Linked DNA regions of Oryctolagus cuniculus. The protein of the gene in region 6 purifies or fractionates together with the protein of the main gene of each other region. This does not show direct contact. Links are inferred from orthologs where the notes say so. Each region holds a gene or a part of one and is shown on either strand. Other genes may lie near its edges. The genes, in order: MED13L, CDK8, MED31, POLR2B, MED13, MED9 and CCNC.

Evidence for each region.
Region 1: the proteins of MED9 (region 6) and MED13L purify together in Homo sapiens (affinity purification with mass spectrometry; 5 studies listed by BioGRID and IntAct, with this or other methods). This does not show direct contact. The link is inferred for Oryctolagus cuniculus from reciprocal best matches to the Homo sapiens genes MED9 and MED13L.
Region 2: the proteins of MED9 (region 6) and CDK8 purify together in Homo sapiens (affinity purification with mass spectrometry; 10 studies listed by BioGRID and IntAct, counting the BioPlex papers as one, with this or other methods). This does not show direct contact. The link is inferred for Oryctolagus cuniculus from reciprocal best matches to the Homo sapiens genes MED9 and CDK8.
Region 3: the proteins of MED9 (region 6) and MED31 purify together in Homo sapiens (affinity purification with mass spectrometry; 4 studies listed by BioGRID and IntAct, with this or other methods). This does not show direct contact. The link is inferred for Oryctolagus cuniculus from reciprocal best matches to the Homo sapiens genes MED9 and MED31.
Region 4: the proteins of MED9 (region 6) and POLR2B purify together in Homo sapiens (affinity purification with mass spectrometry; 4 studies listed by BioGRID and IntAct, with this or other methods). This does not show direct contact. The link is inferred for Oryctolagus cuniculus from reciprocal best matches to the Homo sapiens genes MED9 and POLR2B.
Region 5: the proteins of MED9 (region 6) and MED13 purify together in Homo sapiens (affinity purification with mass spectrometry; 6 studies listed by BioGRID and IntAct, with this or other methods). This does not show direct contact. The link is inferred for Oryctolagus cuniculus from reciprocal best matches to the Homo sapiens genes MED9 and MED13.
Region 7: the proteins of MED9 (region 6) and CCNC purify together in Homo sapiens (affinity purification with mass spectrometry; 4 studies listed by BioGRID and IntAct, counting the BioPlex papers as one, with this or other methods). This does not show direct contact. The link is inferred for Oryctolagus cuniculus from reciprocal best matches to the Homo sapiens genes MED9 and CCNC.

Annotation. Positions count from the first base shown.
Region 1 is NC_091452.1:12,779,944-12,784,073, forward strand, and holds the start of MED13L (mediator of RNA polymerase II transcription subunit 13-like), read right to left. Parts: upstream 2,801-4,130; 5' UTR 2,740-2,800; coding exon 2,668-2,739; intron 1-2,667. UniProt on the Homo sapiens protein: Component of the Mediator complex, a coactivator involved in the regulated transcription of nearly all RNA polymerase II-dependent genes.
Region 2 is NC_091440.1:96,689,384-96,692,883, reverse strand, and holds part of CDK8 (cyclin-dependent kinase 8), read right to left. Parts: intron 2,531-3,500; coding exon 2,461-2,530; intron 1,721-2,460; coding exon 1,648-1,720; intron 1-1,647.
Region 3 is NC_091448.1:49,926,708-49,930,767, forward strand, and holds the start of MED31 (mediator of RNA polymerase II transcription subunit 31), read left to right. Parts: upstream 1-1,260; 5' UTR 1,261-1,489; coding exon 1,490-1,517; intron 1,518-2,518; coding exon 2,519-2,596; intron 2,597-2,811; coding exon 2,812-2,908; intron 2,909-4,060. UniProt on the Homo sapiens protein: Component of the Mediator complex, a coactivator involved in the regulated transcription of nearly all RNA polymerase II-dependent genes.
Region 4 is NC_091439.1:107,684,745-107,688,951, forward strand, and holds the start of POLR2B (DNA-directed RNA polymerase II subunit RPB2), read right to left. Parts: upstream 2,801-4,207; 5' UTR 2,630-2,800; coding exon 2,611-2,629; intron 2,224-2,610; exon of another isoform or gene 2,025-2,223; intron 1-2,024. Other genes in the region: NOA1 (nitric oxide-associated protein 1), read left to right, coding at 3,499-4,207. UniProt on the Homo sapiens protein: Catalytic core component of RNA polymerase II (Pol II), a DNA-dependent RNA polymerase which synthesizes mRNA precursors and many functional non-coding RNAs using the four ribonucleoside triphosphates as substrates.
Region 5 is NC_091448.1:35,500,617-35,504,116, reverse strand, and holds part of MED13 (mediator of RNA polymerase II transcription subunit 13), read right to left. Parts: intron 2,860-3,500; coding exon 2,403-2,859; intron 585-2,402; coding exon 365-584; intron 1-364. UniProt on the Homo sapiens protein: Component of the Mediator complex, a coactivator involved in the regulated transcription of nearly all RNA polymerase II-dependent genes.
Region 6 is NC_091448.1:66,357,103-66,361,266, reverse strand, and holds the start of MED9 (mediator of RNA polymerase II transcription subunit 9), read right to left. Parts: upstream 2,801-4,164; 5' UTR 2,710-2,800; coding exon 2,483-2,709; intron 1-2,482.
Region 7 is NC_091436.1:72,185,563-72,189,062, reverse strand, and holds part of CCNC (cyclin-C), read right to left. Parts: intron 1,845-3,500; coding exon 1,726-1,844; intron 1-1,725. UniProt on the Homo sapiens protein: Component of the Mediator complex, a coactivator involved in regulated gene transcription of nearly all RNA polymerase II-dependent genes.

The DNA.
Region 1 (4,130 bases), on a different chromosome or scaffold from region 6:
TCAAAAGCAATCAAATAAAAAAGAAAACACTGGGCCCAACAATATATTCTCATATTTGCTCTTATTAAACACATGGACAGGTATGATCACATCTCCTTTGTAATTAACTGTACTATACAATGTATTTTAGGTAACATTTTTAATATCCCAGACTGTTGCTGTACATGATTTTCAAGAAAAATGCTCAATTTCGAACTAGAAAAATTTACAAGTCAGCAGCTTAATTCAGAATTTTTTTTTAAATTGCACATTATCCACCCTCCATGTATAAGGGAATGTAGGCACATTATAAAGTTCTTTTTAAAAAATCACGTTTAGCATTTCTGTGGTTCTGCATTTCAAAGTTACTACCCAAAGACAATTCTATTTTTAAAAAAGAATGCATTCAAGAAATAATTCCTTGGGTAAAGAAGTTTAAGGAAGAAAACCCAAAACACAAAACTTGAGTCAGTAGAAGTACAGAATCCCCTCCTAAAACACTCAGTTTCTCCACAAGAATCTCAAGCATCTTATCTCTGTAACATTATCATTCTTACTTACGCTCTATTAGAAAGTGAAAGAAATGATACACCTTAGAGACTGTACAAATCATACACTTTCATCTGTCTACAAAATCCAGTGCATGTAGAAATTAGCCACATACACACAAGCCATTACCAGTCAGCATGATACATGGTAATGTGGGCACTCTCTCCTCACTAATATCCGTCTACTTGGTTGTTTTAATTACCTGTAAAAGTGTCAATGTGGTCACCAGCCGCCAAACAAAAACCATTTTAAATGCCCCTTAATCAATACATTTGCTAATCTATGAAAGTCCCTCAACCTCATACCAAATGATAGATTGAGAGGAAGACAGAAGAGGAAAAGAGGCAAAGTGAGTTTTATTCCCACACACAAAAAGATCAAGGGAAAATTCTCACAGTGCTGAGAGAAGATTCACAGCTTGCAATTCAATGTTAAGATTAAATATCTGGATAAAAATGTTTGATGATAGAAAAAACTTAAGGTGATCCCACACCACAGTGGAAACAACACTATGTCATTCCATGTTTGTAGACAGAAAATCACATGTGATGTTTTTATCTGTATAAATACTGTAATGTATTTAATAAAATAATACTTCCACTTGAAAAGTTGGCAAGATTTTCTATTTCCCCACTATTCTCAAAGGGAAAAAAGCATCTATGCCACCCATAATTAAATGTAACTAATTACAATTTGAACACTAAATTATTTACCCAGCATAAACAAGGATTAAGAGGAAATAATGCTTCTATCTACAGCAGGGGTTACAGAAAATAATTTCCAAAATGCATGCTCTCCAAGAGTCCAGAGGCCCCCCCTCAAAAAAACAGGGTACACAACTTAAAATAAGTTTTTTTTTTTTAAGGTTAAATTAAATAAACCGTTCTGCCAATTTTCCAATTATATTCTACGCTTGAAACATAATTGCCTTACATCTGTTTACAAATCTTTGCTCAATATTTAAACAAATTCGTAGTCTCCCGGGCACATAGCTATACATACAGTAACTCATGCACAAAGCACACATTTAAAGACCACGCATTGCAATTATTAGTCTAAACACCAGGTTGAACAACGTGAATGTTTTCGGAGCTAGGTAATACGACCCAATAAAAAGCAAAGATGGCATTTACCACCAAATGTCACTGCCACCGCCAGGAAAGAGTTGCCGGAGCCCTATACATTTTTAATTTCGATGGATCCAGACGCCGTCGTCGGGTGCCGGGCTTCCGCGAGAACAATTGACACCCTAACTGCTTCAAGATTAAGGCAGGCGATGCAAATCCAGAGGAAAAGTTGTCAATTATCAGAGAGCGAGAGCGCGAGAGGCGAAGGCAGATAAAAGCGATGTTATCACACCGCCCAGCTTGTTGCTTTTGTGTGTGTGTGTGTGTGTGGATTTGTTGTCAGCAGAGAGAAAACAGTTTTTAGAAGACACAGGGGGAGAGGGAGGAGACGCTCTCTCCGCCCTCCGTCGGCTCGGGGGCCTGGCTCTCGGGGCTCCGGCGCGGGGAGCCCCGGGAGGCGGCCGGCAGGTCCGTGTTTACGAGCGCCGGAGCTCCGGGGGCGACGGTCCTTTAGCCACACAATCGCATTCAATCAACTGCTTTCGGGCGAAATTGCGGCTGTCATTATGGAATTTAAAAAAAAAAAAAAAATTCAAAAGGCAGGCGGGCGGCCGATCCGACAAGAGGGGCAAAGGCTGCTGCTGATGGCAGGCGCGGGGAGCACCAGGCAAAGCCTTCCACGTTTAGGAAGGAAGGGAGAGGAGAGGGAGAGGGGGAAAAAAAAAAAAAAAAAAAAAAAACGGGGAAGAGGGGAGGGGAAGGGGGGTGTGATTGCAACAGAGGGTGGGCGTTCGAAGTGCGACCCAGAATCCGCAGCTTGGAGACTTCCACATGCAAATTCCACGCCGAGCGCTGCGCTCACAAATGATTTTTAAAGAGCCAAATAAACACTGGATGGGATCCAAGGCGAGGGAGCGACGATCCAAAAGGGGGAGAATCAGCTAGAGGCGAACGGCGGGGAGAGGCGAGGGAGGGGCGAAGTCCCGGCGGCGGGAGGAGAAAGTTGGTCGGCGGCGGAGGTCGGAGACCCCCCCCCCCCGGCCTGCCCCCTCCCCACGGCCCGGCTACTCACCAGCGAGAAGAGGTTGGAGTGACAATCCTCCAGGCTCGCCCCGTTCGCCACCCAGTTCGCTGCCGCAGTCATGATCCTCCGCGAGCCCGGCCGCCAGAGCGGGGCATGTCGGAGCGAGGCGTCCGAGGCGAGGCCGGGCCGGGCGGCGGCGCCTCGCCGGGGAGCGCGGAGCGGCCGGGCCGCCGCCGCCGCCGGAGGAGGAGGAGGAGGAGGAGGAGGAGGAGGGCGGGAGGGCCGGCGGGCGGGCGGGAGGCGCCGCGGCGACGCCGCGCCGGGGGCGGCGGGCCCGGGCCGGCGGGGGGGTCCGCGGCGGCCGCGCGGCTCCTTCCTGCTCGGGCGGCGGCGGCGGCGGCGGCTGCGGCGGCGGCGGGGGGCGCTGTCCGCGCGGCCCGGCGCCCTCCCCGCCTCTCAGGGCCGCCGCTGCCTCCCGGGCCGGCGCTACGGGCCGGCCGCCGCCTCCGCCTTCCCTGATCCTCAGCCGCCGCCGCTGCCGCCGCCTTGTTTATCTCCAGCCACCGACTCCCCCTCGGGCCCCGCCGGCGCGTGAGGGGAGGCGAGCCCCGGAGCCGCCGCCGCCGCCGCCTCGGAGCCGCCGCCGCCGCGGAGCGCGAACTCGCGAAGGGGGGGGTGCGGACGAAGCCAGCGGGCGACCCCGGCAGCCGAGCGACGTCCCCTCCTTCCTCTTCCTCCCCCACCCCCCCCTCCTCCCCAGTCAGCCTCGCTTCTCCTCCCTCCCCGGGCTCGCTCGCTCTGACAGCAATGGCGGCCGCCGACCGCGGCTCGGCTCGCCATTGGCTGCCGCTGCGTCACGTGACGGGCGCCGGCCGCGCGGGGGGGCGGGGGGCGGGCGGGGGAGGGGCCCGGAGCGGCGGCGGCGGCGGCGGCGGCGGCGGCTCGCGGGAGGCGCTGCTGAGCCGAGAGCAGCCGCGTTCTCCGGCCGGGAAGAGGGAGGGAGCCGGAGAAGGAAAGAAAGAAGTGCAGGCGGCCGGCTCCCGTGGCGGGCGGCGGGCAGCCGACCCGAGGCTGCCGTGGGCGGCCGCGCGCTCTCGCGGGGCGCGGATCCTGGCGCGTTGGGGGCGCGATCGCCGGCCCCGAGCGGACCTGGTGTAGCTGCAGCCCCGCGGCCCTCGCCGGTGCTGCCGACCGCCCAGGCCAGCCGGTGTGACGAGGGCTCCCGTGGGCCGGGCAGAGGGTCCAAGTGCTTCGGAGTGTCCATCGAAGCCTCTACGCCTTTTGCCGAGGGGGAAGTCAAAGCACAGGGAGCTCAAGTCACTTGCCCGAGGTCTTGGGATTCGAACCCTTGCCACCAGCGTGCAGTGCAGCCAGGCTCGTACTGTACGCCAGGCCCTGTGCGTTCAATACAGACATGCTGGAGCGCGGGGATCCTAGTTCCTGTGTGCATTCATTCATTCATTGCATAAACGTCCCCTGAGCTCTTGCTCCATGCTGGGTCTGTTATAACT
Region 2 (3,500 bases), on a different chromosome or scaffold from region 6:
ATTTAAAGTACCCAATAATTTTAATGGATTGCAATAGAGTTTCAGATGGGACCATTCAAGATTATCAACAGTTAAGATAGGTCATGCCAGGATTAATAAGCAAAACAGTTAAAGCAATAAGGTATACCTCTAGATTTTCAGTGGTGATGGTTTTGAGTCATTTCAGACTTTAATGAGTAGTAGGGAATTAGGGAAAAGTCAGAGAAATTCCTCTATGTCATGACTTTTAGTCTACCACCACTATCATCATTTTGTTAGAATTAAAAAGTCTGATTTTGAAGGATCTAACTTAGCCTTCCAATTGTCTTGTCTTAAGTACATCAGAATAAATGATTTGAATAGTACAATGTGTGGTAATATGACAGTTTAAGCATTGCTTTTCAAATTACTAATAAGGTATGAAATATATGATATAAAATATGACATGATAAAATAAGTTCTAAAATCAGAAGTAGAGGAAGACAATAAAACAGAAGCAGAAATACAAGAAATGCTTGCCAAGCGACCTGGTTGCAATAAAGGAAACATTTCATGTTTTCAAGATAAAGGAATTTCCATTTAAAAATACTTGAGGGGCAGGCATTTTGCCTAGCATTCAGATTCCCACACCCCATATCAGAACACCTAGGTTCAATGCCTGCCTCCAGACCCTGACCTTAGTTGCCAGCTAATGCAGGCCCTAGGAAGCAGCAGCAAGGGTTCCAGTAACTGGGTCTCTGCCACCCACATGGGAGACTACGTTGAGTTTCCAGCTCCTGGCTCCAGCCCAGCCCAGTCCCCGGCTGTTGCAGGCATTTGGGGGAGTGAATTAATGGATAGGAGTTCTCTCTTGAAATCTCTACACTGTCTGCCCCCTCCCACATGCCCCTACAAAAAACAAAACAAAACAAAACAAAACAAAAAAAAAACAGGAAAAAGGATTAAAAAAATTTCAAGCCAAGCAAAATATAACTTGCTTCTACAAATTCCCCTCATTATGTTATAAAAGTTTAAAAACATAAAAGTGAAAAACATCTTGGTGACAAAATTTTACTGCAAACAAACTGAATTTGTCAATCACTGAATATGATCTCATCACAAATTACTTTGCTAGTGTTCAGATTCATACACATTCTAGGTCAAACTACCTTTCCATTACACATAGAGAAATACTGCATCTCTCACACTCTTCCAGAAAAAGCATGTAATACATATCATCCCTGAGGCATATCTAATGCACAGGTTTATAAAAGTATCACGGAGTTAAAAATTCTGTAAACATTCTTTCAAGAGTTGAAATACCAAATAGTTTGCAGAAATTATTTCAGAAGGTGGAACTGTTTTTTTTTATACATCCCTGAGATTTTTGAAATTTAAAAATAACAGATGAAAAACACTAAATACAACTTTTAGTGCTCTTCACAGAATTGTCATAATTACTACCTTTAGAAAATCTAATATGACAAAACATTAGTCTGTCAGGTCATAATACAGGTTTGGAAAAGCAAATTTTTTTTGATGTCTTTACTAACACAAGATCTTTGCATTTATGATTAAAGTACTCCAGGAGTACTAATCAACCATATAAACTGACCCAAAAAAGTCTCAGGTGGTGGTAGTCAATTGGGGAAAAAATGAATTTCATTAGCATTGTTATTTAAAGCTTACCAAGTGGAATGCTTTACTATCTGGTTTAACTTTATGCTTTTCCATATACTTGATAAGGCTGCAGTTGGTATACCTGAAAGAGAAATACTATGAAATATCTGTATTAGATGTGAGGTTAATTTTACATTGGCTCAAGTCCTTCCAAAGAGAATTACTTTGATCATAACTGATCAGCATAAAAAAAGCATTAAATCAATTTTATAACTCATTCAATACCCATACTAGTCACTTTTTGAATGGATGCCAATGATTAAATGCAAGATAATTCCATGAATAATATATACTGAGTAGCTGTTTTCACATGAATCACATCTTAATTATTTTAGACAACATCTGGGTCAAAAGTTTAACTCAGCCTTACCAGTAACTTTAAAATACCTTTGCTGTAGGTTTACAAACCAAGCTGTCCCAACCATTGGCCTTGCTTTGTAAATAACTGAAATAATAATTCTTCTGTATTAAAACTTGCTTAAAATGACTATACAACCTAGGTGAGTAACTGCTAAGGTTTATTTTAGTTCCTTACTTCTTTAGCTGTGATATTTTTCACTAATATCTAGCTTCCAGAAAGTAGTAAATATCGGAAAGAAAAGAACTGACTTCTCCCTCTGTATCTAAATTGGCTCTATTAGTCATTTTTTCATATAATTTTTAATCATCTTATGAAGACTGCTATGAAAAATATTTACTAGAGTAAATAAATTAAGTTACTTATTGAAGTAATGTTATGTTGAGTATGTTGAGTGTTCTATCTTAAACTGAGTATTCTGGAGAAGCAAAAACCAACAAATGTCTATTTTCTTTCCAACTTACGTATTTCTTCTGAAATCTTTCATTAATGTTGAATGTTCGGGCATCTTTTTTATATCTTCCCAATCTTTATCTGTGAAACACATTGATAAATTTTTATGTTGCCTAGGTTCCTATTCTTTAGAATTTCAATATAGATTACCTCCATTTTCACTATATTTCCAGTTCTTTTAGCCTCTCTGGAAGCTCAGAGTTCAAATAAATGTTCAGCTACAATAAACATCTTGAACTGTAAATACAATTCCTCATCCGCTCAAATAGCTTTTATATCTGTTCATCTTTTAAATTTTTAAATTGTTTGCTTTCCATATGATTTATTGTTAAGTTGCCTCAATTACTATAACTAGGAAGGAATATTATAAGTATTTCTATTTATTATTAAAAAGTTCTATTTCTATTAGTATAATAATTTATTTTTTCCTTTTCCACCACACTTCTTGGCAAATCAGCAATTTCCTTATTTACATCAGCAATCAATATAGCCAGTAATAACTGTTTGCAGTAGAACTGGGTGTAGGATGGAAATAGTAATATTAATAATCGGCTGGTATCTTGGTTTTTTTTATTAACATTACCCGACACTAAATAAAAACTCCTAGCTACTAAATAATTTTTGGGGTGTTAAGTAAAACAAAAGTTGTTAAATAAATTTTAAGAACAAAATGTTTCAGCCAGGTTTGCTGGCCTTAAGAGTTGCTCCAACAACTCATGTCAGATCACCTGCTTTCTCCATCAATACCAAAGACTTTTAATGAAAGCCCACTAGGCAAGCAGCACTGTGACAAGCACCTTTCACTTTTAATTGGCCTTTCATGGTTTGCTTTTCTTTGAAGTCACTGGTAAAAATATTTGCTAACTGTCCTCCATAGACATCACATAATGTAAACTAAATGTCTACTTAAATTCCTAAATGGAATTTCCTCCTTACTTTTTCCTTGCCCCGATTTCTCTATTTTGTCAATTCCTCAAAGTAGAAATCTTGAGATTATCCTTCCCAGTGACACAAAGCTGTGTCCTCCATTCTCCTTCCGTGCTCTTTCTGC
Region 3 (4,060 bases), about 16 Mb from region 6:
ATGGCCCGGTTCACTGCCCTGCCTTTACATGTAGGAGCCCGAGTATGGACTGGAAATGGCAGATGTTCTGCTCCCAGTAGTAGACACAATTGGGCCATCGCTGGCCTGCTGGAAGACCCCTTTGTCCTGCTGGGTAAATCACTGACTGCAAGGCAGGGTCAAAAAGCAACAGACACCCCCCCCCCACACACACACACACACTGTCCAGGGGAGGGCACGGCCTCCCACCCTCCTCTGGAGCCTCTCCCAGGCCTCTCCTCTCCCAGCTGCAGCGCGTCTCCAACTGGGCACCACTGACACGTTAGGCCCCGTGATTCTGTGGTTTTGGTGCTGGGATCCCTGGCCTCTACCCACGACTTGCCAGCAGCACTCCTTGTACCTAACACAAACGTCTTTAAACATCGCCAAGTATCCCCTGGGGGACAAAATCCTCCCCCCCCCCTCCAGGATGAGAACAACTGTTCTGCAGCCCACACGGAAGGCAGAAGGTATTTTAAAAATGCGGTTGCATCATGTCAGTCCTGTGCCGAAAACTATGCAGCGTGTTCCTGTTAGACTAGAACCTGAGTTCCCGTGGTGACTCAAAGGCCCTCTAGAAACTGGTCCTGCCTGTTGCCGTCCCCTCTCTGCCTCTCACACACGAAGCTCCCAGCTCTCCCTTCTTCTCTCGGGGAACGTTGCAAGCTTGCTCCCACACACCCTTCGCACTTCTCTTCCTCCGGCCTAGGGTGCACTCCGCTGAGACCCCCGGGTGGGGGTGGGGCGCTCGGTGTCACCACACAGGTCTCAGCTCCACTGTGGCCTAACCAGCAAGGCCTTCCCCGTCCATCCCTCTATACCACCACTCTCCGCCTCTTTGCCCGTCAGCCCCGCGTGCGGGCTTTGTCACGCGTGGGGAGGCCCAGGGCGCGGCTCGCGCAGGAACCCAGGAACCGCGGCTGGGCTGTTTCTCACACCGACATGTGGGCTGCCTCCAGGAAGCCAAAGGCGACTGGGGGACCCGGCTGGACACAGTAGGCAGCCTCGCCTCCAGCCGCTTTGACGAGGCCCTGAGCACTCGGGAGGGCACGAGGGCGCCGCTTCCTGGAAGGCGAGGTGTCCACACTGGGGTGAGGACGGCTTTCCCCCAAGGGCCGAGGCCATTCTATAGGTGTTGAGGGGACCGCTCAGCACACCTCTACGCTACGTCACGAGGTGAGAAATGACGTCACAGTAGCGACCTGCCTCCTAGGCGGCAATGCCACTACACGCTGACGTGAAACACCTCCAAATACGGCGCTCCCCGGGCCGCAGCGCCCGGCTCAGGAGCCCGAGCGGGCGGAGCCAGCAGCGATGGGCGGAACCGCTGTCCTCCCAGCGCGGCTGGGCCCGCCCCCGTATCCCACAGTGCCCCGGGGCCGGAAGCGGGGTGCTGAGGCTTCCGGAACTTCCCCAGCCAGACTGGGCAGAGTCTCTGCCGAGCTGGTGAGAGTTCGCGTCGTTCCTTGTTATGGCCGCCGCCGTCGCCATGGAGACAGGTGAGTCGCGCTCTGAGCCGTGCGCTCCGCCCGGACCCCTTCTCCTGCCTGCCCGGGGCCTCCTTCAGGCCTAACGGAAGGGGCTTGGAGTGGGACCCGGGAGGCGAGAGGGCTCTTGGAGCATCTGGGAAGGTGCCGGCAGCTTTGCCTTTTTCAGAGTTTGGTGGCTTCGCACATGTTTTCTCCCCGCTTGCTGTTCACTCAGCGACCCCACCTTCGTCCCAGCGTGGGTGAGACTGAGGGACAGCACTGGAATCTTTTCTTTAAAAAAAAAACAAAAACTAGTATAAAGAGAACAGATTGCATAGGTACAGTTCCAGGAGACCCATACTTCCCTCTCTCCTCCTCCCCCCACTCGCGTTCCCTCCCCTACTTTTCATTTTTTTTGTTGCCAAGGCATAAATTTGATACAGTCTATAATAACGGCTTATTTCACCACGAACCGTAATATAGAGCCAGTCAAAAGTAGGAAGACCACCAGGAGCATAAACAGGGGCTGAAAGTGACAGTCGTGTCACCAGACAGCACTTGGGTCTGCTTCCGCGGGAGCTTGCATGAGTTTGGGGCGCCCTGGACCAACTTGCGTTATCCTGCCACTGATGCTGCCATTCGGGGTCTTCCGGCGCTCCGCAGTCTCCTAGCTCGCACTCGGAGCTCCTCACCGCCATCGACAGTAGCTACAGTGTATTAATAAAATACAGGGAGGTAGACTGTCACCCCATACCCGGTCACTCACTGCTGAGATGGCTCCAGTGACCCACCGAGGGAGGTCTCCTGCCGCATCTGTGTTCCCCTTGTCTCTGATGACTTCTCTTCAACGTTAGAGGGGTTTCTAGCTGCCTTAATCAGAGTTCTCCTTTTCTTAGGTTCCTAAGGAATTATGCCTCCCAGAAGTGTAGCTCAGCATTACGCAGGTTTCCTGGCTGCTGTTTCCTTTCGACCCATCGGTGTTGTATTTAGCGACCTTTGTCTTGGATGATTTTTGCTGTCTTCTCTCCTAGATGATGCTGGAAATCGACTTCGGTTTCAGTTAGAGTTGGAATTTGTACAGTGTTTAGCCAACCCAAATTACCTTAATTGTAAGTTGTTCACCTAATTAAATTGAATAGCTATTAATGATTTTTTGACAAGAGTTGCATTTCCTAATAGTATCTACTTTTATATATTCTCAATTGAATAGAATTGCACTTAAAGCAATTCTGTAGCTGTAACTGAGCAAACTAGGACTTGTGGGCTGGTGGTAGTCCAAGCATCCGTCTGACCTAGGTTTTGTTTTTTTTTTTATGCCTTTCAGTTCTTGCTCAAAGAGGTTACTTCAAAGACAAAGCGTTTGTTAATTATCTTAAGTACTTGCTGTACTGGAAAGAACCAGAATATGCCAAGTATCTAAAGTAAGTTTAATTTTTTGTAATCCTCGGTGTATGTATGTTTTACTAAAACCCAAAACGTGGATACGTAAATACTTCTTAGTTTCACACTGGTAAAAATGTATGTTGAATCTGCACGTTCTGCGCGTTCGGTTGTCACTGCCTACCTCTTAATTTGGATTCCTGCAGAAATCACTCACTGTTGGCTCTGTTTTCTGCTCTTTCCTCACTACCTCACCCAAAGCCAATAAAGCAACGCGATTTTCTACCCAGAAGCCGATGTGGTCCCTGGGAACTGTAGCTTAGAACATGCTGTCTGTTCCTTAGACCTGGGGGGCCCTCCCTTCCTGGCAGTGAAGTCTGCGGCCCGGCCGCATCTGGCCCAGTCTTCTTGACCTCCTCTCTACCAGTCTCCCCATTTCTCTGGGTTTCTGGTCTGAAGGACTCTGGTCCTCACATGCAGCAACATAGCCATTGACTGATAATAAAAGATCACACAGAAGTACCTGTGAGGAAGATGTGGAGGATGTCACTGTGTCTTCCAGCAGCGATCTTTGTGCCCAAATGCTTTGCATTCAATAACTAAAAAACACTGCACACTCACAACTGTTTCCGTACACATGCCGGTCCTTCAAAAAGTAAATGGAAAATGGATCCAAAAGACGAGTTTGTATTGGTGCAAAAAACTTTTGGAGTCCATGTGTAAGGGATTTCCAGAAGTTCTTGAAAAATTGTGTAATATGAAATAACCAAGTATAGACTACAAGCTTTTTATATCCAAATAAGCTTTTAATTCAGGTTTTTCCACAAACTTTTTGAACTACGTGTATGTGTGTTTGCCATTCAAGTTGTTCCAGAGACACTTTGACTTGAAGGCCAATTACATTTGCAAGGGGCATATTATGACCAGAAACCTATTCCCTTTCAATGCGGAAGGCTGCACTTACTACTTTGCTTAGTATTAGCCAGGTGGTTGGAAAGCAGTGGTGAAGCTTTTCAAATTTTTTGAAAAATTATTTTATTTGGAAGGCAGACAGAGGGAGAGAAAGAAGTCGCCCATCTGCTGGTTCACTCCCCAAATACCCACAGCAGCCATGGCTGCGCCAGGCCAGAAGCTGGGAATCAGGAACTCAGCTTGCATCTCTCATATGGTGGCAGGGACTCAAATACTTGAGC
Region 4 (4,207 bases), on a different chromosome or scaffold from region 6:
TCTTTTTTAAAAATTATATATTGTATACTACATAAAGAACTCAACGAGGGGCAGGTGTGTGGCCTGGGGTAAGATGCTGGTTAGAACACCTGCATCCTACATCAGAGTACCTGGGCTCAGTCCCTGGCCCTGACCCCTAACTCCAGCTTCCTACTAATGCACATCCTGGAAGGCAGCAGTGATGGCTCAACTGACTGAGTTAATGTCACTCATGTAGAAAGTCTATCACTGGGCCGGCGCCGCCGTGGCTCACTAGGCTAATCCTCCGCCTTGCGGCGCCGGCACACCGGGTTCTAGTCCTGGTCGGGGCGCCGGATTCTGTCCCAGTTGCCCCTCCTCCAGACCAGCTCTCTGCTGTGGCCAGGGAGTGCAGTGGAGGATGGCCCAAGTCCTTGGGCCCTGCACCCCATGGGAGACCAGGAGAAGCACCTGGCTCCTGCCATTGGATCAGCGCGGTGCGCCGGCCGCAGCGCGCCAGCCGCGGCAGCCATTGGAGGGTGAACCATCGGCAAAAGGTAGACCTTTCTCTCTGTCTCTCTCACGGTCCACTCTGCCTGTTAAAAAAAAAAAAAAAATTAAATAAACAGGACAGAGGATCTGATAGGTTCTAAGCATAAGGACATGGAAATGCTAACTGCTTGACTATCAGTTTACACTACATATATGTGTTGAAACACTGCTTGGCACTGCACACAATGTACAAATATTATGTGTTAATCAAAATACTTTTAAATAAAAATACATGACGCCCAGGTTTCTGGTTCCCACAAAAGAGAAGGGTGGTACCATGCTCTAAGACAGACAACCCAGAAGCCGATGGCTTTGGAAGTGCAGATGATGATGGGAGCGGGGGTGCATAAAAAACATGGTGAGCTCAGCCTGGGCAGTGACAATTTACAGAAGCCCAGAGACACTTCAGTTAGAGACGCAGGACATCTGAGCTGGGAATGTGTGCGTATGTATTGAGACGTCATCCACATACACAGTAACTGAAGCCACGGAAAACGCGAACAGCAGGAGTGAATGAGAAGGGACAAAGTCTGATAGGTGTAAGAATCAAGTGACGGTGCTAAGGCTGAGGAGATGGGCTGCCAAAAGGAACTCACCCATGATGCTAAATACCGCAGGGCCTGCCTGAGGCTTACACAGTGCTACCGGCTGTATCAGTGGGAAGGGCATCTTAATGAAGCAGCACTGAGATCAGATTAGAATGTGCTGAAAACCTGAGAGGCCACAAACTCTTCTGAGAACCCCGGTCGCCCATGGAAGGAGAAAGGTCAGATATTCCCAGGAAAGAAACAACTGAGCAGAGTTTAACTTCTTTGCAGGTGCCAAGAGAGATCTGACACTTTCACATGGCAACATCCGAAAGGAGCAGCCTAATTGATGAGGGCGTATCTAACAGACTTCAGAACAGGCAGGAATGGAACATGGACCACTCTTCTCTTCCACAGGTACTTTATACGTTGCTAATGAGAATGTAAATTCGCAGTTAATAGCACAGTGGTCACTTGGCACCATCCTGCAAAATGTTAAATGAATATACCGTTTGACCTGACAATTCTCTATTTAGCGATTTTTTTTTTAATATTTTTTATTTACTTAAAAGGCAGTTCCAGAAAGAGAAAGGGCTTCCATCCGCTGGTTCACTCCCCCAATGGCTGCAGCAGCCGGAGCTGGGCAGGCCCGGGGCCAGGAGCCTCTTACGGGTCTCCCGCGCGGATGCAGGAGCCCAGGCACTGGGCCGTCCTCCACTGCCCTCCCAGGAAAAGACGAGAATGATGCAAATGCCCATCCCTAAGAGACTGGCTGAGTCGCACTACATCTAAACAAGCGAGCAGTGACGATGGACTCCACACACTGGCAGGAAAGCCCACTACATAATACTATGTAAGAAATAGAAATACAGGAGAGCACGAATGGTGCTTTTTGTCTGAAAATCGGGGAACCACACAATCCCATTTACGCTCACTCACACGTACGTAAAGAAACCTTGGAGCAGGAGAATCTGTACCAGCAGCTACCTGCGTGGACGCGGTTCAAACCGGACAGCTGGTGGGTCCGATGAGCCCCGGCGCTGAGACGCTAAGCCTGCGCTTCTGCTTCCTCCGAGAGGCAGCGGAGGCGAGCGGGTGGGATGCCAGGGGGGCTACGGGACTGGGAGCCAGAACACCTCTCTGGCGGCCGCGCGTCCCTCTGGGGCGCAGTCAGTTCCAAGGACACCTTCGAGACAATTCCCCGAGGTTTAGGACTGCACGGAGGAGGGCCACCCGCGGCCGCCGTGCTCCCAGGGCCCAGCACACAACCTAACGGATGGCCAGCGCCACTCCGTCCATCGGTGGCCCGGGGACCCGAGGACCGTCGGGACGCCCCCGAGCCGGAACAACGCCATCTGCCTACGGTTCCGCACGCCACTCCACCACGGGACGAACACAGCCGGCCAGGAGCCTGCACGCGCGCATCCCCCGCGCCGCCACTTCCCGCACGCCCAGCTCGGACCGCGGCCCGGGGGTGGCGGGGGTACACCGCGGGGGTCTCCGGGCGGCGGACGCAAAGCCGTCCAGCTCCCCCATTTTCCCGCCGCGGAGTCTGCGTTGCATGGTCACCTACCCTCGTCCGCGTCGTACATGTTGGCAAACGGTCCAGGAGATCCTAACCCTCAAAAAGAAAAACCACTGAGACAGAAAACCGCGTAGCAGCCGCCACAGGGCCGCAGGCAGAGACGAAGCAACTTCCGGTTCCGGTGTTCCCACAATTCTCTGCGTCCCCGAAGGCCCGCCCCACCGTCGCCGAGGTGGGATCTGCGCCTGCGCCAGTTGAAGCATAGGGCGGGCTGGGCTCGGGGTCGCTCGGGCGCGGCTGAGCCGGGGCGCGACCAGTCCGAGGCGGAGGGGCGGCTCTACAGCTGCTTCACGTTGAACAAACCCCGCCTGAAAAAAATCCAAGTGAATTTGTTAGCGGTTCTGGCCGTGGCGTGAGCTCGCAGGTTTAAGGCTGTATTGTTTGCACTCCAAAGACCAGGAAGCCACAAAACTAAAAGGGATTAAGTGCGACTTGTGCTGGCCGTAGCGCCTTGAGAAAGCTTGAAGAAAGATTTATTTATTTATTTGAGAGGCAGATTTACAACGAGGCAGAGAGGTCCTCCGACCGCTAGTTCACTCCCCCAGGTGGCCGCAACAACCGCGGAGCTGAAGCCAGGAACTTCCTCCCGGTCCCCGACGTGGGTGCAGGGGCCTCAAGGACTTGGGCCATCTTCTGCTGCCTTCCCGAGGCCCCAGCAGAGAGCCGGGTTGCAAGTGCAGCAGCCGGGACTCGAACCTGTGCCCTCAAGGGAGGCTGATACCGCGGCTTTCCCGCTACGCTTTCATCGCGATAACTCGCGGGATCTCGAGGTGGAAGGAAGCCGCACCTCCGGGGTTTGGGGCAGAACGGGCGCCTGGGGCCCCACTGCGCGTGCTCGGTGGTGGCTCCGCCCCCTCGCGGCGGGCCGCGATCCCCATGCTGCCCGCACGCCTAGCGGGGAGGCTGCTGGGCCCCGTGGTGCGGTGGTCCGCGCCTGCGGTGCGGCTGCTGCGGACGGGATGCGCGGCCGCCGCCGCCTCCCAGCCCCCGTCGGGCCTGCGGCGGGCGCTCCCTCAAGGCCCCGCCGCGCCCGGGGACGACACCGAGGAGCGTTTCCTGTTCCCCGAGTACACCCCGGAGCCGGAGCCCCCGCCGACGCCTGAGGAGCTGCTGCGGGCGCTGCGGGAGCGGGAGCAGGAGCAGGAGGAGCAGGCGCGGCGCCGGGCGGAGCGGCGGCAGGCGCGGGCCAGCCTCCGCGCGCCCCCGGCCGCGGGCCGCCCGGACCCGGCGGTGCCGCCCAGCGGCCTGCCCTGCTCGGGCTGCGGGGCGGAGCTCCACTGCCGGGACCCCGGCGTGCCCGGCTACCTGCCCAGCGAGAAGTTCGCCCGCGCCGCGCAGGACGGCCAGCTGGCGCGCGCCGTGTGCCAGCGCTGCTGGCTGCTGGTGCACCACCGGCGCGCCCTGCGGCTGCGCGTGAGCCGCGCGCAGTACCTGCAGCAGGTGAGCGCGGCGCTGCGGCGGCCCGGGCCCGCGCTGGTGCTCTACCTGCTGGACCTGCTGGACCTGCCCGACCCGCTGCTGCGCCACCTCCCCGCGCTGGTGGGCCCCAAGCAGCTGATCGTGCTGGGGAACAAGGTGGACCTGC
Region 5 (3,500 bases), about 31 Mb from region 6:
TAGAACTCCAGTTTATACAGGTCCATGCTACGTTTACCTGCTTAGGCTTATGAATTTAAACACTGGATTAAAAGGTTAACACAGGACCAGTATTTAACATACTATATACTATATGCAATTTTTACTTCTCATTATTATTGTGGTATGATTGTAAAATTCATGTTTTACAACATATCATATCATCAAGAATTTTATATTTTACATCAGGTATGTTATTACAACATAGCTAACATCTATATCACTTAAAGTTAAATCAATAATAGAACTTGGCTTTCAGAACACCAATTTGAAAACAGAAAAATAGTATCTTTCAAACAGCAAACTGTTTTACAAATATTTAACTCACAATATTTATCAATCTTACCTGTACAGAAACAGTACTCTTAATATGTGGAGGAAGAGTTTGGACCATTTCCAAGAAGCATCGAAGTAGTCCCAAAGTCCACACATTAGAAGAGTTAGTGCCTTCATCTTTATTTTCATAGGTAAAAGGATCGATTATATAAACAACAATTGCAGGTGGATAGGTAATTGCATGTGAATCACCATCTGTGGGGATTCCCACTTTATCTCGATCCATCGTGCTAAAATATGAAGTAGAAGTAAGACAAAAACTTGTACTGTATTGCTGGGAGTGCATTCAAAAGCAGGCTCTTGATCCCCCATCCCTTTTTTTGTTTTTGGTGGGAAGTATCAGTGAACCATACATACATACATACGTACTAGCATAAGAAGAAAATAGAAATAAAATTCTTAAAACTGCAGTATATCTGAAATGAGAGTTTAGTGCATAAAGGATAAAACTGGTCCTCTGTCTAAGACCTATCTCAGTAGCAGCCCCAAATCACAAAATTGGCTAAATCAAGATCAGAAAGAAACCAAGTTCTACAGGTAACGCTACCACCTGGAGCGCCAGCATCCTATATGGGTGCCAGGTGAGTCCCAGATGCTGCACTTCCTCTCCAGTTCCCTACTGGTGACCTGGGAAGACAGCAGAAGATGGCCCAACCGCTTAGGCCCCTGCCACCCATGTAGGAGACCTGGATAAAGCTCCTGGCTCCCAGCTTCAGCCTGGCTCATCCCTGACCGTTATGGCCATCCAGGGAGTAAATCAATGGATGGGAGATCTATCTTTCCCTCTCTCTAACTCTTTCAAATAAATCTTCAAAAAAAAAAAAAAAAAGGGGGGGGGGAAGAGAAGAAAGAAAGAAAGGAAGGAAGAAAGAAAGAAAGAAAACCAGATTCCCAGATCTATTCAATGTTCTACTACATTTCATACTTCGTAATTTCAATGGTAAACCAGTTACATTATTTGATGGCTAATTTTTTTTAAACTTCGAATCTGTTTAGATGTTTAAGATGGCTGGATTAATATAGGGAATAGTCTGCTTTTTTATCGATGTATATGAGTATAACTCTGCGAACAACTGTATCCTGGATAGATGACAGGTTTAACAATGCTCAGCCTAACCAAATTTATAAACTAAAAGGGAAGTTCACTCAATACTTTCATCATAAAAGGACTGAGAGGGGCCGGTGTTGTAGCGTCAAGGTTAAATTGCCACATGTGATGCCAGTATCCCATATGAGCACTGGTTTGAGTCCGTTGCTCTACTTCTGATCCAGCTTCCTGGTGATATGCCTGGAAATGCAGCAAAAGATGACTCAAGTACTTGGGCTCCTACCATGAGGAAGACCAAGATGGAGTTCAGGCTCCTGGCTTCAGCGTGGCTAAGCCCTGGACATTGCAGCCATACGGGGCGTGAACAAGCAGACAGAGGAGCTCTGTCTCCCCTTCTAACTCTGCCTTTCAAATAAACAAATCAATCTTTTTAAAAAAAGGGAATGAGAAATGTCATCACTATGGTCATTATAAAAAAAACTTGGAGGGGCCAGGGCTTTGGTGTAGTGGGTCAAGCTGCCGCCTCCAGTGCCAGCCTCCCATATGGGCCAGTTCAAGTCCCAGCTCCTCCACTTCCAATCCAGCTCTCTGCTATGGTCTGGGAAAGCAGTAGAAGACGGCCCAAATTCTTGGGCCCCTGCACCCACATGGGTGAGCCAGAAGTGTTCCTGGCTCCTAGCTTTGGATTGGCGCAGCTCTGGCCGTTGTAGCCAGTTGGGGAGTAAACCAGCAGATGGACGACCTCCCTCTCTCTCTCTCTCTCTCTCTCTCTCTCTCTCTGCCTCTCCTTCTCTCTCTGTGTAACTCTGACTTACAAATAAATAAACCTTTAAAAAAAGGAAAACAAAACTTGGAAGCATTACATAAAGCACAATGTATGCATATTATATCACATTACACCCCATTTAGCAGATACTGAAAATGCTCATAACTCATATTTAGAAAAAATTAAGAATCATAGTTTTTATATTTGTGCAAAAATCAGTGTTTTTAAAGATACCTTTCAGACACATCAGGATGTGGCTGAGTAGGAAGCGAAGATGACTCTCCAGAAATCCCAGCTGTCTGTAGAGTTGATGACTGCTGCCCCCCTAGCTGGCCATTCTGAACTGCACTTGCTTGTGCAGACATGGACCCTGTAGCACTACTGCTCATACTGCCAAAGGGTGGAAATGAAGGTAGTTTATTTGATGATGCTCCACTATTCAAACTGGAGGATGAAGAAGATGAAGTTGTGGTCAAAGTCGAATTAGCTGTTGCAACCGAAGTAGGCAGTGCAACCCCTGAAGTCACAGTCATAGTGCTGCTTGCTGCAGATGCTAGGGTGGCTGATGGAGTATTAGTATTTCCAGTACTTGCCATCTGAGATGGTGTAATCAAAGACTGACTTGGAGGGGTAACTAAATTTGGCTGGGAAAGCAGAGAGCTGTCCAGTGGCTGCGAAGCAAGATAAGGACCTAAAGATAAAAACAGGAAGGGTATTTAAATTCTTTATTTCACTGGTTAGTTCTTTTTCAAATTCTTTATGAATAAAATAATAATCTAATTTATACTTTCTTGGTAATTACTCTCCCTAAACTGCCTGCTAACAATTTAGTATCAACTAGCTTATTTTCACCTAGAAATTGAAAACGGAATTGTAAAAGTAAACCAGCTTTTTCATGCAAATTAAATAAATGATTACCATGAAATAAAATAAAATTACATTTTCTAGATGCAACTAATTAAATGCAATAAATATTATGTAGCAAATTCCCATCAAATCATTAAAAAGGCTCCTAAACCACAAGTTGAAAAAATATTTTCTACACCAATAGCTAATTAAAACCCAAAATGGTAAAATGGTAGAATGTTATCATAAGGTTCAAATTATTGGAATGCCAAATGCCTCTGAATTAATTTGGTTCTGCATCTCTGTGGATTAAGTCTAAAGGACGCTCAATGATATTATAAGCAAGTCTAAAGTACTTGGTCATTTTCTTAGCTACACACACACAAGAAAACTATGTCTTGGTGTTACAGAGGTTAGCTACAAATTATTTTATTTCTAAAACTATTAGCAAATCAAGAATTCTATAACTTAAAACATTAGATCCTA
Region 6 (4,164 bases):
CTCTGTCTCTTCTTCTCACTGTAACTCCTTTTTTAAAAAAATTTTTTAAGATTTATTCATTAATTAAAGTCAAACTTAGAGAGGAGAGACAGAGCGAGAGATCTTGCACCCGCTGGTTCAGTCCCCAAACAGCCATAACAGCTAGGGCTGGGGCAGGTGAAAGCCAGGAGCTTCTTCTGGGTCTCCCACACGGGTAGCAGAGTCCAAACACTTGAGCCATCTTCTGCTGCCTTTCCCAGGCCATTAGCAGGGAGCTGGATTCGAAGTGGAGCAGCCAGGACTCGACCCGGTGCCTATATGGGAAGGCAGCACCGCAGGTAACATCGGACCCTGTAACTCTTTCCAAATAAATACATCTTTAAAAGAAAAAAAAAGTCCACGTTGTCAGCAGCGACTCCATCTCAGCACAGCATCGGCAAGCCCATCAACCTTCAACCTGAACGCCCCCGCAATGGTGGTGGTGTCAAGTTTAGCTTGCTTTGGTTTTAAATGGTTGAGCTCGAGTGGCAAGCCTGGGGGTTTACATCTAGCACTGAGTCGTGAGTCAGCCAACAACAGACTACACACACGACGAATGGTGGCATGAGATTAAAACGGGGCTGAAAACAACCTTGTTCGTGGTGACTCCGACGGAAAGAAACCGACTGCACTGCCAGTTCTCATACAGGGAACTTCAGAAAGTTACTGCGGGGCCGGCGCTATGGCGTAGTGGGTAAAGCCACCGCCTGCAGTACCGACATTTCATATGGGTGCTGGTTCTAGTCCCGGCTGCTCCACTTCCGATCCAGCTCTCTGCCATGGCCTGGGAAAGCAGTAGAAGATGGCCCAGGTCCTTGGCCCCCTGCCTGCTTGGGAGACCCAGAAGAAGCTCCTGGCTTCTGGCTTCAGATCGGCACAGCTCCGGCTGTTGCAGCCATTTGGGGAGTGAACCATTGGGTGGAAGCTCTCTCTCTCTCTCTCTCTGCCTCTCTGTAATTCTGCCTTTCAAATGAATTAAAAAAAAAAAAGTTACTGGAAAAATGGAACTAAAATTTTGGTTCAGGGGCCAGCATTGTGGCACAAGCCGTTGATGCTGGCATCCCACATGAGGACCTACTCAAGTCCCCGCTGCTCCATTTCCAATTCAGTTCCCTGATAATGCGCCTGGGAAAGCAGCCGGGATGGCCCAAGTGCTTGGGGCCCCTGTCGCCCACGTGGGAGACCCGGATGGGGTTCCAGGCTCCTGGCTTCAGCCTGGCCCAGGCCGGCCGTTGTGGCCATTTGGGCAGTGAACCAACAGATGGAAGATCTCTCTCTCTCTCTGCCTCCCTATCACTTTGCCTTTCAAATAAGTAAAACCAATCCCTGAAAAATAAAATGAAACCCATACACATCTTTCCATAATACGCACTTTTCCGTGAACTTTCAAAACAATCCTCGTATTGGCTGTCCTATACCTCTCACTGCTGTTTCAGAACGTACTCCTCCTACTTCCACGAAAGGCCAAACACCACGCATGTCCCGTTGGGACGTGTCTGCCTGCAGCAAGCGGCCGATGCCTCGGCTGCACCTCCTCACTCTCCCAGGCACCACTCCGTGACGTCAGCGCCAGCGGCGTACTCACTCAGGCAAGCGTGGAACGGGGGGGACTTTGGTTTCTTGTCTGTTTTTGTTTTTTCCTTTCCAGAGCCTGTCTGTCCGAAAGCTTGGGCTCCCCTGAGGGCTGGCCAACAGCACGGCCATATCCTTTCAAGGTAGGCTGGGATCAAGTTAGTCCAGGCCCGGTGGAGGCGATTTCTGTGTCTCTGCAGGCCATCTCAGCCCTGCAGGCTCAATCTGTATGAATTATGGGTAACATAATTATGGGTAACAGAGAGAGATCTTCTATCTACTGGTTCACTCCCTAAATAGCCCGAACAAAGCCAGGAGCCAGGAGCTTCTTCCAGGTCTCCCGCGTGGGTGCAGGGGCCCAAGGACTTGGGCCATCATCCACTGCTTTCCCAGGCCACAGCAGAGAGCTGGACCAGAAGTGGAGCAGCCGGGACTCGAACTGGAGACATTCGGGATGCTGGCGCTACAGGCGACGGCTTTACCTGCTACGCCACAAGGCCGGCCCGCAGTCGGCCCCTTTTACCGTGCGCACCCCGTAACGCCTAGCAGAACGCTATGCAGTCCCGACGATGTTTCTCTGCGGGATGTGCTGAAGACGAGGAGAAAACCAGAGCGCGTCTTAACCCTACGGAGCCTCAGGGACGCTGCCCAGGCTCCCGAGGCCCCCGGCCACCTGTGCCGGCCAGCTCGGAGCAAGTGTCCCCCGCATAGAGCACGGCGCCCCCCGGCGCCCCCATGCGCCCGGACAGGCGCCGCGAGCTCTCGGGAGAGGCCCCTGCCCACCCCCTGGCCTCGGCCTGCCCGCCCGAGAAATGGGGACGCACCCTTGCAGCCTCCTAGCGCCAGCGCCAGCGGCGGCGGCGGGGCCCCCTCTTCCGGGGCCCTTCCTTACCATTTGATGATGTTGTGAACCAACGGCAGGAAGGAGTAGTTCTCCTCCTCCTTCATGCTGGCGGGGCTCTGGGGCCGGGGCGCCGGCGACTGCTGCGGCTGGGGCGCGGCCACCGGTGGCGGCAGCTGCGGCGGCGGCAACGGCTTGGTCTCGGTCAGCGGCGGGTCGGCCGGTGGCGGTAACGCATCCTCGGCCTGTCGCCCAGCGGCCACCCCGGCCGAGGCCATGGCCCCGGGGCTCGGTCCAGCGAGCCAACTCCCCCACTTCACCGGCTCGGCTCGCCGGGAGCGTCGCGGACTCTACACGTCACTGCTGAGCGCCTCGCAGGGGCGGGGCCGGACGCACGGATCTGAGCATGCGCACTGAGCAGGGGGCGGGGTAAAAGCGCAGGCGTGAGGGGAGGAGGCTGTTGCTAGGCGACATGCGGTGGGCGGGCTGGTGTAGGCTGGATTTGGTTGCGAGTCTAGTTAAGTAAATTAGTCAGAAACAGGCGATTTAGCTCAAGTGACCTCAACGGCCAGGGCTGGGCCAGGGCCAACCCAGGAGCCAGGAGCTTCGTTCAGGGTTTTCACGCGGGTGCAGGGGCCCAAGTACTTGGGCCATCTGCTGCTGCTTTTCCCAGGCCTTTAGCAGAGAGCTGGGTGGGAAGTGGAGCAGCCGAGTCTCAGACTGGCGCCCATATGGGATGCCGGCGCTGCAGGCCGCGACTTAACCCACAGCACCATGGCTTCGACCCGCTATTTTATTTTTTTAAAACAACTGTTCAACATTTTTAAATTTATTTTTATTTGAAAGGCAAAGTGATAGACACGCGGAAATCTTTTCTCGGATACTTCTCTCTCCCAATGCCTCCAACAACTGTGGCTGGGCCAGGCTGAAGCCAGGAGCTAGGTACTCCATCCAGGACTCCCACGTGGGTGGCAGGGGCCCAAGCACCTGGGCCATCATCTGCTGCCTCCCAGGCTCATTAGCAGGGAGCTGGGCAGAGCAGCCGGGACCTGAAACAATTCTCTAGTGTGGGGGGCAGGTGTCCCGCAGAGAGCTGGATGGGACGCAGAGCAGCCGGGACCTGAAACAACTCTCTAGTGTGGGTGGCAGGTGTCCCAAGCTCTGGCCTAACCCACAGCGCTAGGACGCCAACTCCAAAGCATCCCCATTTTAAAGACAAAGTAACTGAGACTTAACAATGGGTGTGGGTCTAGGGTCACCCAGTTTGCCTAACGCCAAACCTATGGTCTCAGCCAGGTTCCTCAGGCTTCTGCTAGTTTTGTAACTTTATGATTCAAAATGTTAACGTGGCTTTCTATTCAGAATTTGAGAAGCAATCTAATAGTCATCAATAATATCCCCATGGCAACGTGCGTCATTTTTTTTCCCCTCCCAGCGTGTTTGATCACAAGCCCCGAATTTGTCATTGGCATCATAATGAGAACGTCCTTTAAAAAGAAAAAAAAAATCAGGTATAAATAGATATGGCTAAAAAACAAACAAAAAAACCCACAAATTGAAAATGTTAGATGCATGAGCAAATACTGGGTATTGACAATTTGCCCTATAAATAGTTCATATAATTAGTGACAAAGAGTAAAGTTTTGTAATGCTGCAAGCATATGTCAGAAAAATCCTGCCTGGGCTGCTTTCAGGAAGCCCAACATTGCCACAAAAATACGCATCTGTTTAAT
Region 7 (3,500 bases), on a different chromosome or scaffold from region 6:
TGTTACATTACCACCTGAAGAATGGGTGCTCTTTGAAAACTGTTCTAATATCAGGAAATAAAAAGTCAGTAGGAACCTTATCACTGTAAGGTGGATGCCTATGATTTCCCTCCAAAAGGCCCTTGTTTGGTGAGAAGAATGAGCAAGAACATTGTTATAATGGGAAAAGACTGATTAAAGACTCCTACTAAAGCTTTGGCTAATTTTTTCAAAACACTCTTATAATGAGGAGATGTTATCATTCTTTGACCTTCTAGAAAGTCAACAAGCAAAAAACTATGGTTATGACCTTTGTTCTTGACTTGGTCACTTTTGCTTTGACTGAACCACTTCTACTCTACCTCTTGGTAGCCATTATTCTTTGTTTTCAGGGTCATACTGTATATATATATGTTTCACTTCCTGTTATAGTTCTTCAAATAAATGCCTTGAGATCTTGATCCTATTTTTTAAAAATTCCCATTAAAAGCTCTGCTTTAGTCTGCAGCTGATCCAGGCAGAACAGTTTTGGTACCTCTTGAGCACAAAATTTGCTCGACATTAATTTTTCAGTAAGAATTGTGTAAGCTAAGCCAACTGAGGTGTCTGGAGTGGTGGCTATTGTTTCTATTGTTAACTGTTGGTCCAATTCAATTAGGGCACAATGTGATTAATTTTCTTCTTGTACATGGATATAAATGATCTGCCATCACTGTGCGCTTCATCTTCAAGTTTCATCCCTTATTAAAATAAGTTATACATTTGTACACTGCTTACTTCTTTGAGGCACTAACCCCATAAAATTCTCATAAGGTTTCAATGATTTCACCATTCCTCCACCCAAGCTTTACTATCAATTTGATGTTTTTTTCTTGCTTCAATTGTAGAATTCATGTTGTTCTAATAGGGGCTCTTTTCAAATTGGTGTCTTATCCTTCTTAGTATCTCAAATAAGATCCTGTTCAAACTTGTAATAAGTTAGTATAAGTTTATTTTGGTGCAAAAAATTTTGCATAATTTTTTATAATATGCACTTTCCATGAACTTTTTGAAGATCCCTCCTATATGACTTAGTTAATTTTCCAGAAAAATGATTAAGATGGGTAGCATTTCCTTATTTTCCACCTGACCTGTTTTCCCTACCTCAAATGATCTGATTTATGGTGAAGGCTGAGAACCACTGAAGTAAATGAACAAATCTTATTTAAAACAATAACCAAAAAAAAAAAAAAAATTCTTAGCACAGGTGTTCCACTTTACAGAAAATTATGGTACAGTGTCTATGGATCTTAGTGTTACTCAAAAACCAAAATTCTTTCCAATATCAGATCATTCAATGAGATTTTTAAAAGCCATTATGATGATTTATAAAACAGGGTAATAGCTAGTAATGGTAAGTGGGCGGTGCAGGAAGATAGCACAAGATAATTGAAATGAAACTGCTCCATAACTATCCCTGAATTTCATATGAACTTGCCTAATTCTGTTCCATTTAAACTTATATATAGTATGTGGCCATATGTTGAGGGATACCTGTAATAGACCTCCATCGTGTTAGATAAAGTTACTAACAGATGATCAATTTAATGTATTTTTACAAGATATTTTCAATCAAGTCACAAATTTAAAAAATTTGCATGAATCATGAAGTTTCTGTAGAAATTTTAAGATACAAAACAACATAATCAAAGAAAAATATGAGTATGATATGTGATTAAATGAAACTAATAAAAGTTTACAAAGTACCTGTTTGGAGGTGGTTTTGGTTTCGGCATCTTACTAAGAATTGTTGCCATCTCTTTCCTCTCATCAAAATTCTTCCACTGTTCATATAATTTTAAAATAACCCTGATAATTTCCAAAATCTAGAAGAAAGTATTTGAAAAATTCTCAGTGGTAAAAACAACCAATATTTCGTATACAAAGAACAAACACCACATTCTAGACATCCTTAAAAACCAGAAAAAGGGGCTGGCGCCGCGGCTCACTAGGCTAATCTTCCGCCTTGCAGCAACGGCACACCAGGTTCTAGTCCTGGTCGGGGCGCCGGATTCTGTCCCGGTTGCTCCTCTTCCAGGCCAGCTCTCTGCTATGGCCTGGGAGTGCAGTGGAGGATGGCCCAAGTACTTGGGCCCTGCACCCCATGAGAGACCAGGAGAAGCACCTGGCTCCTGGCTTCAGATCAGCGCGGTGCGCCGGCCACGGCGGCCATTGGAGGGTGAACCAACAGCAAAGGAAGACCTTTCTCTCTCTCTCTCTCTCTCTCTCTCTCACTGTCCACTCTGCCTGTCCAAAAAACAAACAAACAAACAAAAACAAAAAAACAAAACAAAACAAAAACAACAACAAAAAAAACACACCCAGAAAAAGGACATGAGGTATCTGTCCTTAACTACTCAGGTTAGATTAGATAATCTTGATAAACATGAAAGCAGTAGTTTTCACTATGTTACTACCTAGGCTTTTCCTCCTAGCCTTTCATCTTTCTGCATGTATAAAAAGTTCATGTGTGGATTTCAAAATTTCTTCTGTACCTAAATACCTTACCTTTAAACTCCATTTTTAAAAAAATATTTTTTTATTTACTTGAAAGACAGAGACAGGTCCCATCTAATGGTTCACTCCTCAGCTGCCTGCAATGGCTGGGGCTGAATCAAGCTGAAGTAGGGAGATAAGAACTCAATCCTGATCTTCCATGGGAAGGCAGGAACTCAATTACTTGAACCACCACTGCTGCCTCCCATGGTCTGCATTAGTAGGAAGCTGGAGTTAGGAGCCAGAGCCAAGAAATAAACTCAAGCATTCCAATGTGGAACACAGCATCTTAACTGCTAGGATAAATGCCCATTCCCTAATTCCACTTTTCTGTGAACTCTTGGAAGTATCTTGTCTGCCTTATCTATCACTATAGTTGGATTCCTTCTATCAGCTGACATCTTAGCCTGGGAAAGCAGTAGAAGATGGCTCAAGTCCTTGGGTCCCTGCACCCATGTGGGAGACCCAGAAGAAGGTCCTGACGCCAGGCTTTGGACTGGCTCAGCTCCAACTGTTGCAGCCATTTAGGGAATAAACCAGTGGATGGAAGACCACTCTCTGCCTGTCCCTCTGTAACTCTGCCTTTCAAATAAATAAATTTTAAATAAATAAATAAATAAAGGTTCTAATCATGAAGGAATTACCACTATACACCATATTCCTCTAAGAACAATTTTAGCAATTTAATGGGAGGTAGTATGTTGTATTAACTCTCTGTTAAGTATTCTTTATCTAAGTTAATGTGTTCAAAAACTGGGAGCTACAAATCTGTCATATATAGTTTTCCAATGAGCTCTTTCTTCTCCACCAAAGTAGATGTAATGGATTAATTTTAATGTTTTCAAAATTTGAGTAGAAAAGATAGAAAATAGGGTAGAAACCACACTGCCAGGAAACAGACTTCTAACAATAGTATTTAGTGATCACTAGGTAGCTTTTAATACAATCCTAGATGTTAGAGGCTATGTCGCAACGAATTAACAAAA